Linked DNA regions of Danio rerio. The protein of the gene in region 1 purifies or fractionates together with the protein of each later gene. This does not show direct contact. Links are inferred from orthologs where the notes say so. Each region holds a gene or a part of one and is shown in the gene's direction. Other genes may lie near its edges.

The links.
Region 2: the proteins of bmp2k (region 1) and ap2m1b purify together in Homo sapiens (affinity purification with mass spectrometry; 3 studies listed by BioGRID and IntAct, counting the BioPlex papers as one, with this or other methods). This does not show direct contact. The link is inferred for Danio rerio from reciprocal best matches to the Homo sapiens genes BMP2K and AP2M1.
Region 3: the proteins of bmp2k (region 1) and reps1 purify together in Homo sapiens (affinity purification with mass spectrometry; 3 studies listed by BioGRID and IntAct, counting the BioPlex papers as one, with this or other methods). This does not show direct contact. The link is inferred for Danio rerio from reciprocal best matches to the Homo sapiens genes BMP2K and REPS1.

What each region holds. Positions count from the first base shown.
Region 1 is NC_133180.1:40,038,653-40,042,314, forward strand, and holds part of bmp2k (BMP-2-inducible protein kinase), read left to right. Parts: intron 1-436; coding exon 437-569; intron 570-1,604; coding exon 1,605-1,708; intron 1,709-1,833; coding exon 1,834-1,913; intron 1,914-2,002; coding exon 2,003-2,127; intron 2,128-2,242; coding exon 2,243-2,433; intron 2,434-3,662. UniProt on the Homo sapiens protein: May be involved in osteoblast differentiation.
Region 2 is NC_133193.1:48,967,530-48,971,191, forward strand, and holds part of ap2m1b (AP-2 complex subunit mu-B), read left to right. Parts: intron 1-794; coding exon 795-939; intron 940-3,662.
Region 3 is NC_133195.1:42,536,346-42,539,385, forward strand, and holds the end of reps1 (ralBP1-associated Eps domain-containing protein 1), read left to right. Parts: intron 1-1,132; coding exon 1,133-1,222; intron 1,223-1,302; coding exon 1,303-1,451; intron 1,452-2,188; coding exon 2,189-2,294; intron 2,295-2,393; coding exon 2,394-2,462; downstream 2,463-3,040. UniProt on the Homo sapiens protein: May coordinate the cellular actions of activated EGF receptors and Ral-GTPases.

The sequences.
Region 1 (3,662 bases):
CCTGATTTCTGGAAGTGTTGTAAAGACAGGAATGAGGCCCTCATGAAGGCAGACTTCCTCTTTTATATTGACATGCTGTGAAAGGTAGGTAGCTTAGCCTCGTCTTACAGCTGCATTTCCTTCCAAACAAATGCTGGACGTAAGAGAAGAAAGAACAAAACAAAAAAACAAGCAGTTTTGCCATCACAGATGGTAGAAGTTCATGGTCATCGTGTCAGAACTTGCAGGCTAGGAAGAGGAAATGTATGACAGTACTTCCTGTCCATTTTCTTGGTCCCAAAATAGATACATTCTCTGAATTTGTCACAGTGTGAAAAGCAGCTGTCAGCCATTATACGTATTGTCACTGTGCAGTATTTACATAATAGAGCTGTGAAACCTGATCTGTTGAATGTTGTGATGAATTCTAGCTTTTGGTTTTCTCTCTCTTCCACAGGCGCTTGGATGCTTGTTGTACAAGCTGTGTTTCTTCACACTTCCATTTGGGGAGAGTCAGGTTGCCATATGTGATGGAACCTTTGCTGTTCCGGACGGTTCCAAATTCTCCTCAAAGTTGCACGGTTTAATCAGTAAGCATCTTTCAGATATTCCCAAGAGGTTTGAGATTATTTCCTGATAGACTGTGGGAGTGTTTTGAAATTAAAGTTAAACAATAGCTCCATCCACTGGTCATATGGAGGTACTTCTTGCTGTTTTCCTTCTCTTAAAAAATTGTTCAGCAGAAAATTACAGTGGTCATAATTTACTCATTTTACTCACTTTTATGTTGTTCCAAACCTGTTTGACTTAACATAAACAAATATAAAAGACTTAAGATAAAAGAAAAATATTTTGAGAAACGCCTCACCGTTTTTAGACTTTATAACAGATCTCAACACATTTATCTTTGAAATTCTACAGAAAATCTCAAACAGGTTAGGAATGACATGAGCGTGAGTCAATGAAAATGTTAAACTACATTAGAATAAAAATATGTACAGAATTAACAGAGCTATGTAACACTTTACAATAAGGTTGAATTAATAATCGTTAAAATATTTACTATCGTGAAGAATTATTGAACAATGCATTTATTACAGTATTTATTCATCTTTTGGTATTATCGTCATTCATTTTTAGTTGATTTTAAATTAAAGAGCATATAAGAAATAATGCTATAACAAGCAAGAATTTGGATTTAAATAATGTGTTCGTAAATGTTGAACTATGATTAATAAATACTGTACAATTATTGTTCATTATTAGTTCATGTTTGTAAATATATTAACTGACATTAACGGGAACCTATTTGTAAAGTGTGACCAAAAACAATATATTAAAATATTTTTTTTAAAGAATTTTTACTTCAATTATATAACTTTATATTTTTTCAGGCATCTTGATACTTCTATGTAAACCTTGTGTGTGTGTGTGTGTGTGTGTGTTTTTTTTTATATGCATGCATTTTTTTGTGCTGTTCCTAATATCACATTAGTTTCATTGTCACATAATTTGTATGCAATCACTCTTAACTGTAAGCTAAATAAAAACACACACATACATACATACATATACATACATACATACTTTCATTTTATGTATTTTATTTACCTTTTTTCTCACAGGATACATGTTGGAGCCTGATCAAGAAAAGAGACCTGACATCTATCAGGTTTCTTACTTTGCCTTTCGGTTAGCTGGAAAGGAGTGTCCAGTGCCAAATCTTTTTGTAAGTTATCTAAATCATAGACTACAGAAAATAACAAGCATTAATTTTATTTCATTTAGAATTATCGCTATTTATTTATTTATTTATTTATTTATTTTATTTATTTTTTTTTTTCTGCCACACAGAATTCTCCCCTTCCCACCTCATTGCCAGAGCCCTTTACTGCTAGTGATATTGCTGCTAAGAAGAGCCTGACAAAAGCCCGGTAACATTTTAGCACTTTGTTTGTAATTTTTCACATTCTTTGAATGCAACACCATTAAAATAGCCTCCTTTTACCATTTATTTTATTAGAATAACTGATTCGGTTGGACCAACGGAAACGTCAATTGCACCCAGACAAAGGCCTAAAGCTGCAAATAGCAATGTTCTGCCTTTGTCCAGCTCAGTAACTCCTGTGAAAATGACTGTAACCACAGGTACACTAGGCCAAAAAGCTATCCATGTTTTTCTTAAATATTGTTGCTGTTTTGTGTTTTTGCCCTATTGGAGGAATTAGTTTGACTGTATTCTGTGTGTGTGTGCTTGTTTCAGCTTCTGGAAATGGGCAGCAGTCAGCAGCACAGATGCCGAACAGCAGTCAACAGAACAGAGTATTACAGCAGCTGCAGCCTGGAGACCTGCGACTGCAACAGCTACATCATCAACAGCAGCAGCAGCAGCAGCACCACAATATCCAACATCAACAGCAAATCGCCGCACAGCAGCTACAGTACATGCAACAGGTATTGAGGGGCTTGGGATCAGGACAAGTGTCCAGCAGGTTTAAGACTTTACTGCTTTTTTGTAGATTTTCAATATCAAGTTTCTATTTTTGAAAGACATTTTATAAATGATTGTATTTAGGAACAGGTGCAGTTTCAATAGTTCATATCTACAGGAAATACAAGTGATGATTTGTTTTTAATAGACTAGTTGGGTAACTGTGGAAAATCACAGTGGTGTAAATTGTGTGTGTGTTGTGAGAGACAGTTGCTTCTTGTTTGGACTGGACATTGTGGTCTGCTGATGAGCACATGATGACTGCATTGTTCACACATAATAAATGACCCACATTATATGGGACTGTTTGCATTGTGCAACTTAAGTTCTTATGCAAATCTTAATCCATGTCAAAAGAACATTGTTTGTTGACATCTTATCTTTAAGACTTTAATAATACATTTAATGGTATTGTGTATTACACCTCTACACATACAGGTGGTGTTGCATCTTTTTAATTACACAGTTGCTGGTTCAACGGGTGATTTTCTCTCGAAGTCAAAGTGCACCGAAAGTAGTGACAGATCTTTTATTCCATGTTGTGATGTGTTTTATAGTGACAAAGATAACTGAGGAAAATTTAATTTATAAGATCAAGAACATATATATATATATATATATATATATATATATATATATATATATATATATATATATATATATATATATATATATATATATATATATATATGTACACACACACAGAATTATTAGCCCCCCCAACCTGAATTATTAGCCCCTCTGTTTTTTTTCCCCCCCAATTTCTGTTTAATGGAGAGCAGTTTTTCAACACATTTCTAAACATAATAGTTTTAATAACTCATTTCTAATAACTGATTTATTTCATCTTTGCCATGATGACAGTAAATATAATCTATACAGCTTTACGTGACAATTAAAGGCTTAACTAGGTTAATTAGATTAACTAGGCAGGATAGGGTAATTAGGCATGGTGTTTTATAGCGATAGTTTGTTCTATAGACTATCGAGGAAAAAAAAAAAAAAATATATATATATATATATATATATATATATATATATATATATATATATATATATATATCTTAGATGGGCTAATAATTTTGACAGTTTTTTTTTTTTATTTATTAAAAACTGCTTTTATTCTAGCCAAAATAAAACAAATAAAACTTTCTTCAGATGGAAAAAATATTATCAGACGTACTGTGAACAT
Region 2 (3,662 bases), on another chromosome or scaffold:
AGTCTCACACAATTATGTTGTAGGAACACTTTGTTGATCTGAAAAGTTCTATTGTTTGGATTTTATATTGGTTTGCCAAACAGAAAAACAGATAATATGGTGTCTGATATGTAGCTTTGTCATTGTTAATGTATTGTTTTTAAGCATTTGTTTATAAATCGATGTCACGTGCAGTCATGCTCTTGTGCTGATGTTCGGGGAAATCACTCTTTTGATTTTGGCTTATTGCATTATTATTTTACTACTGTCCTTTTAAATAAAAAAAATGGCTAACTGCATTCCAACGAGCTTCATCAAAACTCAATGCTTTTGGACGTTCTTGCATGTTATTGATGTGACAATTGTGACTCTAGACCACTAAACCAGTCTTATGTTGCATGGGTATATCTTTGGCAATTGCCTAAACTTATTGTATGGGTTAAAATGATATTTTTTCTATCATTTTGTAAAGATCATTTTCCATCAAGTCATTTTTTTTTAATTTCCTACTGTAAATGTATAAAAATTTGATTATAAGTAACTTAATTTGGACAAACTTAAGAGCCTTTTTTTCCAGTATGTAGATTTTTTGTGGCACCCTCATATTCCAGATTTACAAATAATTCCATCCCACCAAATAATGTCCTAACAAACCATCGATCAAAGGAAAGATAATAAAGCATTGAAATAAAATGCCCCTTTTTTTCCTGGTTTTGTGCTCTAAGGTTGCAATACAGATATATGATAGATTGTACGCCCTTACAGTAGATTTGTGGCTGAGAATTGCAATACTGAATGGTGAGTTGTGTGTGCAGGTCAGGTGTTGAGTGCACACGTGTCGGGCCGTGTGGTCATGAAGAGTTACCTGAGCGGGATGCCAGAGTGCAAGTTTGGCATGAACGACAAGATTGTCATCGACAAGCAGGGCAAAGGTGGCACTACTGATGACACTGGCAAGAGGTGAGTCCAATGACACTCATGGAGATGTTAATGCCTTCTGATGATCAGAATAAACGCTCCCTCCACATTAAGAAGGATCACTATATTTGCTTGTCTGTCTACAGTAAGCATGTGCACGTTCTAAATGGCTGTTAGTGTTTTTTTTTTCTCTTTTATCAGCTGAAAAAATAGGTTGTATTCTTCTGTCAATATCGCTGTCATTGTGATTTTTAATTTAAATGATGTATATTTTGTTGTTAGTAGTTATCATTCCAGTTAATTTTACTTAAACTGTCCTTTTTATGTGTACATGTTAGTTTATTTTAATGTAAAAGTGGTCATGGAATTAAGATGACAGTAAAACCATACGGATGTTTTTATACCTCACTATAGTTTTTCATATTTCTCTATATTCCACTTAATGTGTGTGTAATTTCACAGAGGTGCATTCCTAATTTTTAACTACAATACTGATTATAGTAAGAGTTATGGTGTCTTGTGGCAGTCTCTTGATGTAGACCTCCTGTCTGTGCGTATTCTTTTCTAATATCCAGACTATTTTTTCCTTCTATTTTATGATAAATTATTTATATTGTGTGGATGAAGTATATCATTATACAGAATAACAGAATATTTATATTTAAGCTATAGTAGTATTTAGTCTGATTATTAATGTGGCTGCAGTGCTTTATTAATGTATTGAACAGTACTGCAATACAGCACATACAGTTGAAGTCAGAATTATTAGCCTCCCTTTGAATTTTTCTTTTCTGTTTTAAATATTTCCCAAATGATGTTTCACAGCAAGGAAGTTTTCACAATATGTCTGATATTTATTTATTTATTTATTTATTTATTTATTATTATTTTTTTGGGGGGGGGGGATAATTCACCCAGTATTGAAAATTCAGTGATTTACTCACTCTTCTCTTTAAAACCTATTTGAGTTTCTTCTGTTAAACAAAAAGATTTTTGGAAGCTGATTGCCATTGAATTTCATAGTAGTATTTTCTACAATGGAAGTCAATGGATACCAGCTACCTTTTTATCTTTTAGGTTCAGCAGAAAAAAAGGAACTCCCAGGTTTTAAAACCACAAAATGCTAGTAAATGATGAATTAACTAAATTTTTTGGGTTGAACTGTCCTCTTAATTTATCATTTTTTATATATATATATATATATATGTATGTATATATATATATATATATATATATGTATGTATGTATGTATGTATGTATGTATGTATGTATGTATGTATGTATGTATGTATGTATGTATGTATGTATGTATGTATGTATGTATGTATGTATATATATATATATATATATATATATATATATATATATATATGTATATATGTGTGTGTGTGTGTGTGTGTGTGTGTGTGTGTGTTTACAGTTTAAGTCAGAATTATTCGCCGCCCACCCCACCCCCCCCCCCCCCCCTTTATTTTTTTTCTTTTTTTAAATATTTCGCAAATGATGTTTAACAGAGCAAGGAAATTTTAACAGTATGTCTGATAATATTTTTTTCTTCTGGAGAAAGTCTTGTGAAAGTGTTTTATTTCAGCTACAATAAGAGCAGTTTTTAATTTTTTTAAAAATCATTTTAAGGTCAAGCCCCTTTAAGCTATATATTTTTTTCCTATATATTTCAAAAGCATTTCATGACTTTTTTTAAATGTCATTTAGAATGGTCATTTCTGTCACTATCATCCAAATCTACAGCAGTTCCATCACACACCACTAGAGGTTCCCAAACCCTTTTTGAGAACCTGAATTTTGAAAAACAGGAGTTGAGGAGATAGCTCATCTTAGAGGGATAGCTCCCCCAAAAATGTGGTTTATTCAATATTTACTTGTGCTCAGTCAGTTCCAAATTCATATTTGTTTATTTACTCTCTTAATCTCTTAACTATTACTGTCATAGTAGGAAAAACAAATACTGTGGAGGTCAGTAGTTACACGGTTCCAGGTTTCTTCAAAATATCTTTTGTGTTCAACAGAAGAAAGCCAAACAGGTTTTGAGGATGAGTAAATGATGACTGAATTTTATTATTTGTGTGACTATTCCTTTTAATAATACTGCAAATGTGATATTTTTCAGTTCTTCTCTTTCAGCTACATATCCTGTAGAAACATTTCTCACTCCAGTCATTTACTATAAAATACAATAATTTTTGAGTTGGAAATGAGTTATAATTGCTGAAGTAAACTGGTTTGTGAATATAGTTTCTTATTGAGTTTAAGTAGTTTTGGTTTAAGATGTCCCTCTTAACGTGGATTTTTAAGGCTTTATTAGCACTTACGAGTAATAAAATCCAGAAAGGGAAGAAGTGCCACGAAGCGCAGAACATTTGGATACCATGTTTACAGGAAATGAATCCCACATCAAGTGAATTCATTCTTCCTGGCTCTTTTGTGTTTTGTGTCTTGCACTCTTGCTCTTCCTCTGTTGCCTTCTGTGCTGGTAGGTATTTGTATCTTTACAGAGGAATGTTTTATTCTGAGGGGCCGATGCTTCAGCCCTTTATTTTCTTTTAGTTTTCCATTTTTGTTCCGTTGATTTGTGTGCCTCTCTCCTCTCTCCCGCTGGACTTCAGTGAGTTGGGAGGCAGGTAGCGTAACTCTCACTCCTGACGTCACATAATCTGTCACCCTCACTCTGTCCTGTCTCAGCCGTTTGTCTTTGTGTCATGCCATCAAACGTCTCGACAAAGATGATCTTTTTGCATGGGATGACA
Region 3 (3,040 bases), on another chromosome or scaffold:
ATTTTTGAAACGACCAAGATAAACTTTACTATATACTAGGACAGAACAAAATATACTGGCTGAAAAATATTTGTACACAATAAGAAATTACCAATCAACTAATTTAAATAATCTTCACTTTTTATTCTAGTAATTATTGTCATTTTTAGGAGTAATGTCTATATTTATTTCTTTTTTCTGTTGTGTATTTCTAATTTTCAGTATATTTTAATAATTTAATGATGTTAATTTATTACACACTTTATACATATCTAAAATGCTTTGTCAATACTGTACTATGTCATGCCAATAAAGCAACTTTAGAGAGAGAGAGAGAGCAGTCTTTAACTGTCTGTGGGTGCACATGGCTCCTAAATAACATAAAAGTAAGAGAAATAGTGGATTTATTTCATTTCAACAGCCTTTTTAAATAACTTTAACCCATTGTAAAGAAAAGGTGTTTAACAGTGTCATAATAAACCCAAAATATAGTTAAAAATTACATTATTTTTTTTGTTTGTCGCATGTAGTTGACCATTTGTGTTGTGAGTAAAAGGTGTTTCAATCAGGCTACCACCACAAGTATATTTCAGACCTGTGAAAAGCACTGAATTACATAATTGTAATAAATGTAAATGATTTATATTATTTATATATATTAAAATGAAATATGTATATAATATAGTTATCTATCTAAATATTTAAAGTTGCTATTATATTTAATTAAGGTATAAAGAATCCTAATTAATTATATTGATATTGATCATCAGTATTTTAGTGGCTTTATTTTTATGTTTATATACCCAATACAAAAGTTTAATATTGTGAAATTGTTATTAAATATAACAGTTTTTCTATTTTAATTTATTTGAACAATTTATGTTTGTGATGTCAAAGCTGAATTTTTAGCAGTTAGGGAAAGAACTGTGTTTTTTTTATTGCAAACCATTTTTTTGTTTGTTCAGAAAAATCGTATGCTTTATAAAACTATTTTGTTTTGTGATATACTTTATATAATCAAGTTCAAAGGATCAACATGGTTTTTCCTAACAATGTAAGTCTTCGCTGTTGCTTTTGATAATATTAATGCATCTTTGGCGAATGAAAGTGGTAAAGTGTTCATTTCTCTCCAAAAATAACTCTACATATACAGGCAGAAAGATTGCCAGAAGCTGCCGGGACGATGAGAACAGCAAAGAACGACGTTCAAGCCGAAGAACGAAATGCAACCACTGTCAACTCTGTAAGGCAGTCTCTGTGCACCACAGTTCATATTAATAATAGTGCTTCACTTTGTAATTCCTGAATGTGTGTTATTTATAGGCCAAAGTATCCACTCCATTGGCCCCGCCTCCTAAACCCGTCCGTCGAAGACTGAAGTCAGAAGATGAGCTCAGACCAGATGTGGACGACCTTCCTCAAAAGTCTAACGTCATAGCCACTGTTCTAGCAACACAGCCCTCAATTCCTCGGTAAACATCACTGTTTTGGTTTGGTTTGGTTTGGTTTGATTTAATTTGTGCTTTGTTTTCTATTTGGTTTTATTTTGTTTTGTGTTTTTTTTTTGTTTCATGATTTGTTTGGAGTTATGTGTTTTATGTTTAGTATTGCATATGTTTTTGTTTCCTGTATTGTGTTTCTTTCGTTTATTGTTTTTCATTTAGTTGTGTTTTGTTTCGTGATTTTTGTGTTTTTGTGTTTAGTTTAGTTTTTTTTTTTTGCATTTTTTTTGTTTTATGTTTTGCGGATATTTTGTTTAGTGTTTTTGGTTTAATGTTTTTTGTTTTGTATTTTGTTTCATGATTTGTTTGGAGTTTTATGGTTTGTTTTGTGTTTAGTTTAGTTTTGTTTCTTGTTTTTCATTTAGTTTTTTGTTTCATGTTTTGTTTAGTTTTTTTCATGTTTTGTATTTTTTGTTTCGTGTTTCATTTAGTTTTTTTATTTTGTGTTTGGTTTTATGTTTGGTTTTGTTATGCATTTTTTTGGGGGTTTTTCATGTTTAGATTTTTGTTTCATGTTGCAGTTTCTGTTGTTTTTTGAAGTTTTATTTTGCATATTTTATGCTACACAATTAAACAAAACAAATCTTTAAAAAATGCTGCTTGGATACCTACATCCTGGAATTTTTGCTGTGAGATTTAACCAGCATTGTTCACTGTATTTACATGTGTATTAACGTCTGCCTCCTATATGCTCTGTTTAAAAACAGGTCTCTCGGTAAAGACAAAAAGGCCATTCAGGCTTCCATTAGAAGAAACAAAGAAACGAATACGGTTTTAGCCAGACTCAACAGTGAATTACAGCAACAACTGAAGGTATTTTAAGGTGTCTAATGAAAGGAGCTTATCGCATTGAAAGACACTTAATATTTTAATGTCTTATAATTCATATTTTCCTAAATCCTGTTTTTTTAGGACCTGCTAGAAGAAAGAATATCGCTTGAAGTGCAACTGGAACAGCTTAGACCTTTTTCGCATTTGTAACCAGTGTGTGCAAGCTTCAGATTGAATGTTTGTGTGTATGAAAGAATGGTCACCCCATTTTTTTCCCCTTCTTTTTACTTGTTTGTTGTGTTGTTTTTTTTGAGTGGTCTGTTGGATCCTCTGGCAGGATGTCCATTTCACCCATCTCTGCTCCTCTGTAAGACTGTGAGAGAACAGACTAAAATCGCTGCTTCCTCCAGATTCAGTTCTGTCTTGTGCAGCCCATTCAGAGGAACAGAGTCCAGAAACATTGTCCATTATGGCACTTTGATGAAACAGAATGTTTGAGTGGTTGTATGTGTAAAGCTCCAGAAATCACAAGTTATCTTTAGCTTGTGAAGCCTGACGTCATGGCCGGCAGCAGGCTGTAATTCTGGTTAACATGAAGGAGCCTCTTCCCCTCCTGTTCTCCAGAGTCCCGGGGCAGCTTGTCACGTTCTTCCATGTTCGAGGCACCCGTGTGTGCGCTCAGACAATCATTTTAGGCCATGCACTGGTCATATAAAGGGGAGAACTCATTTCTTTGGGAGATCATTTTATTTTAGGAGTATGCTTCGGAAAATCGGTTCTGACAGGCA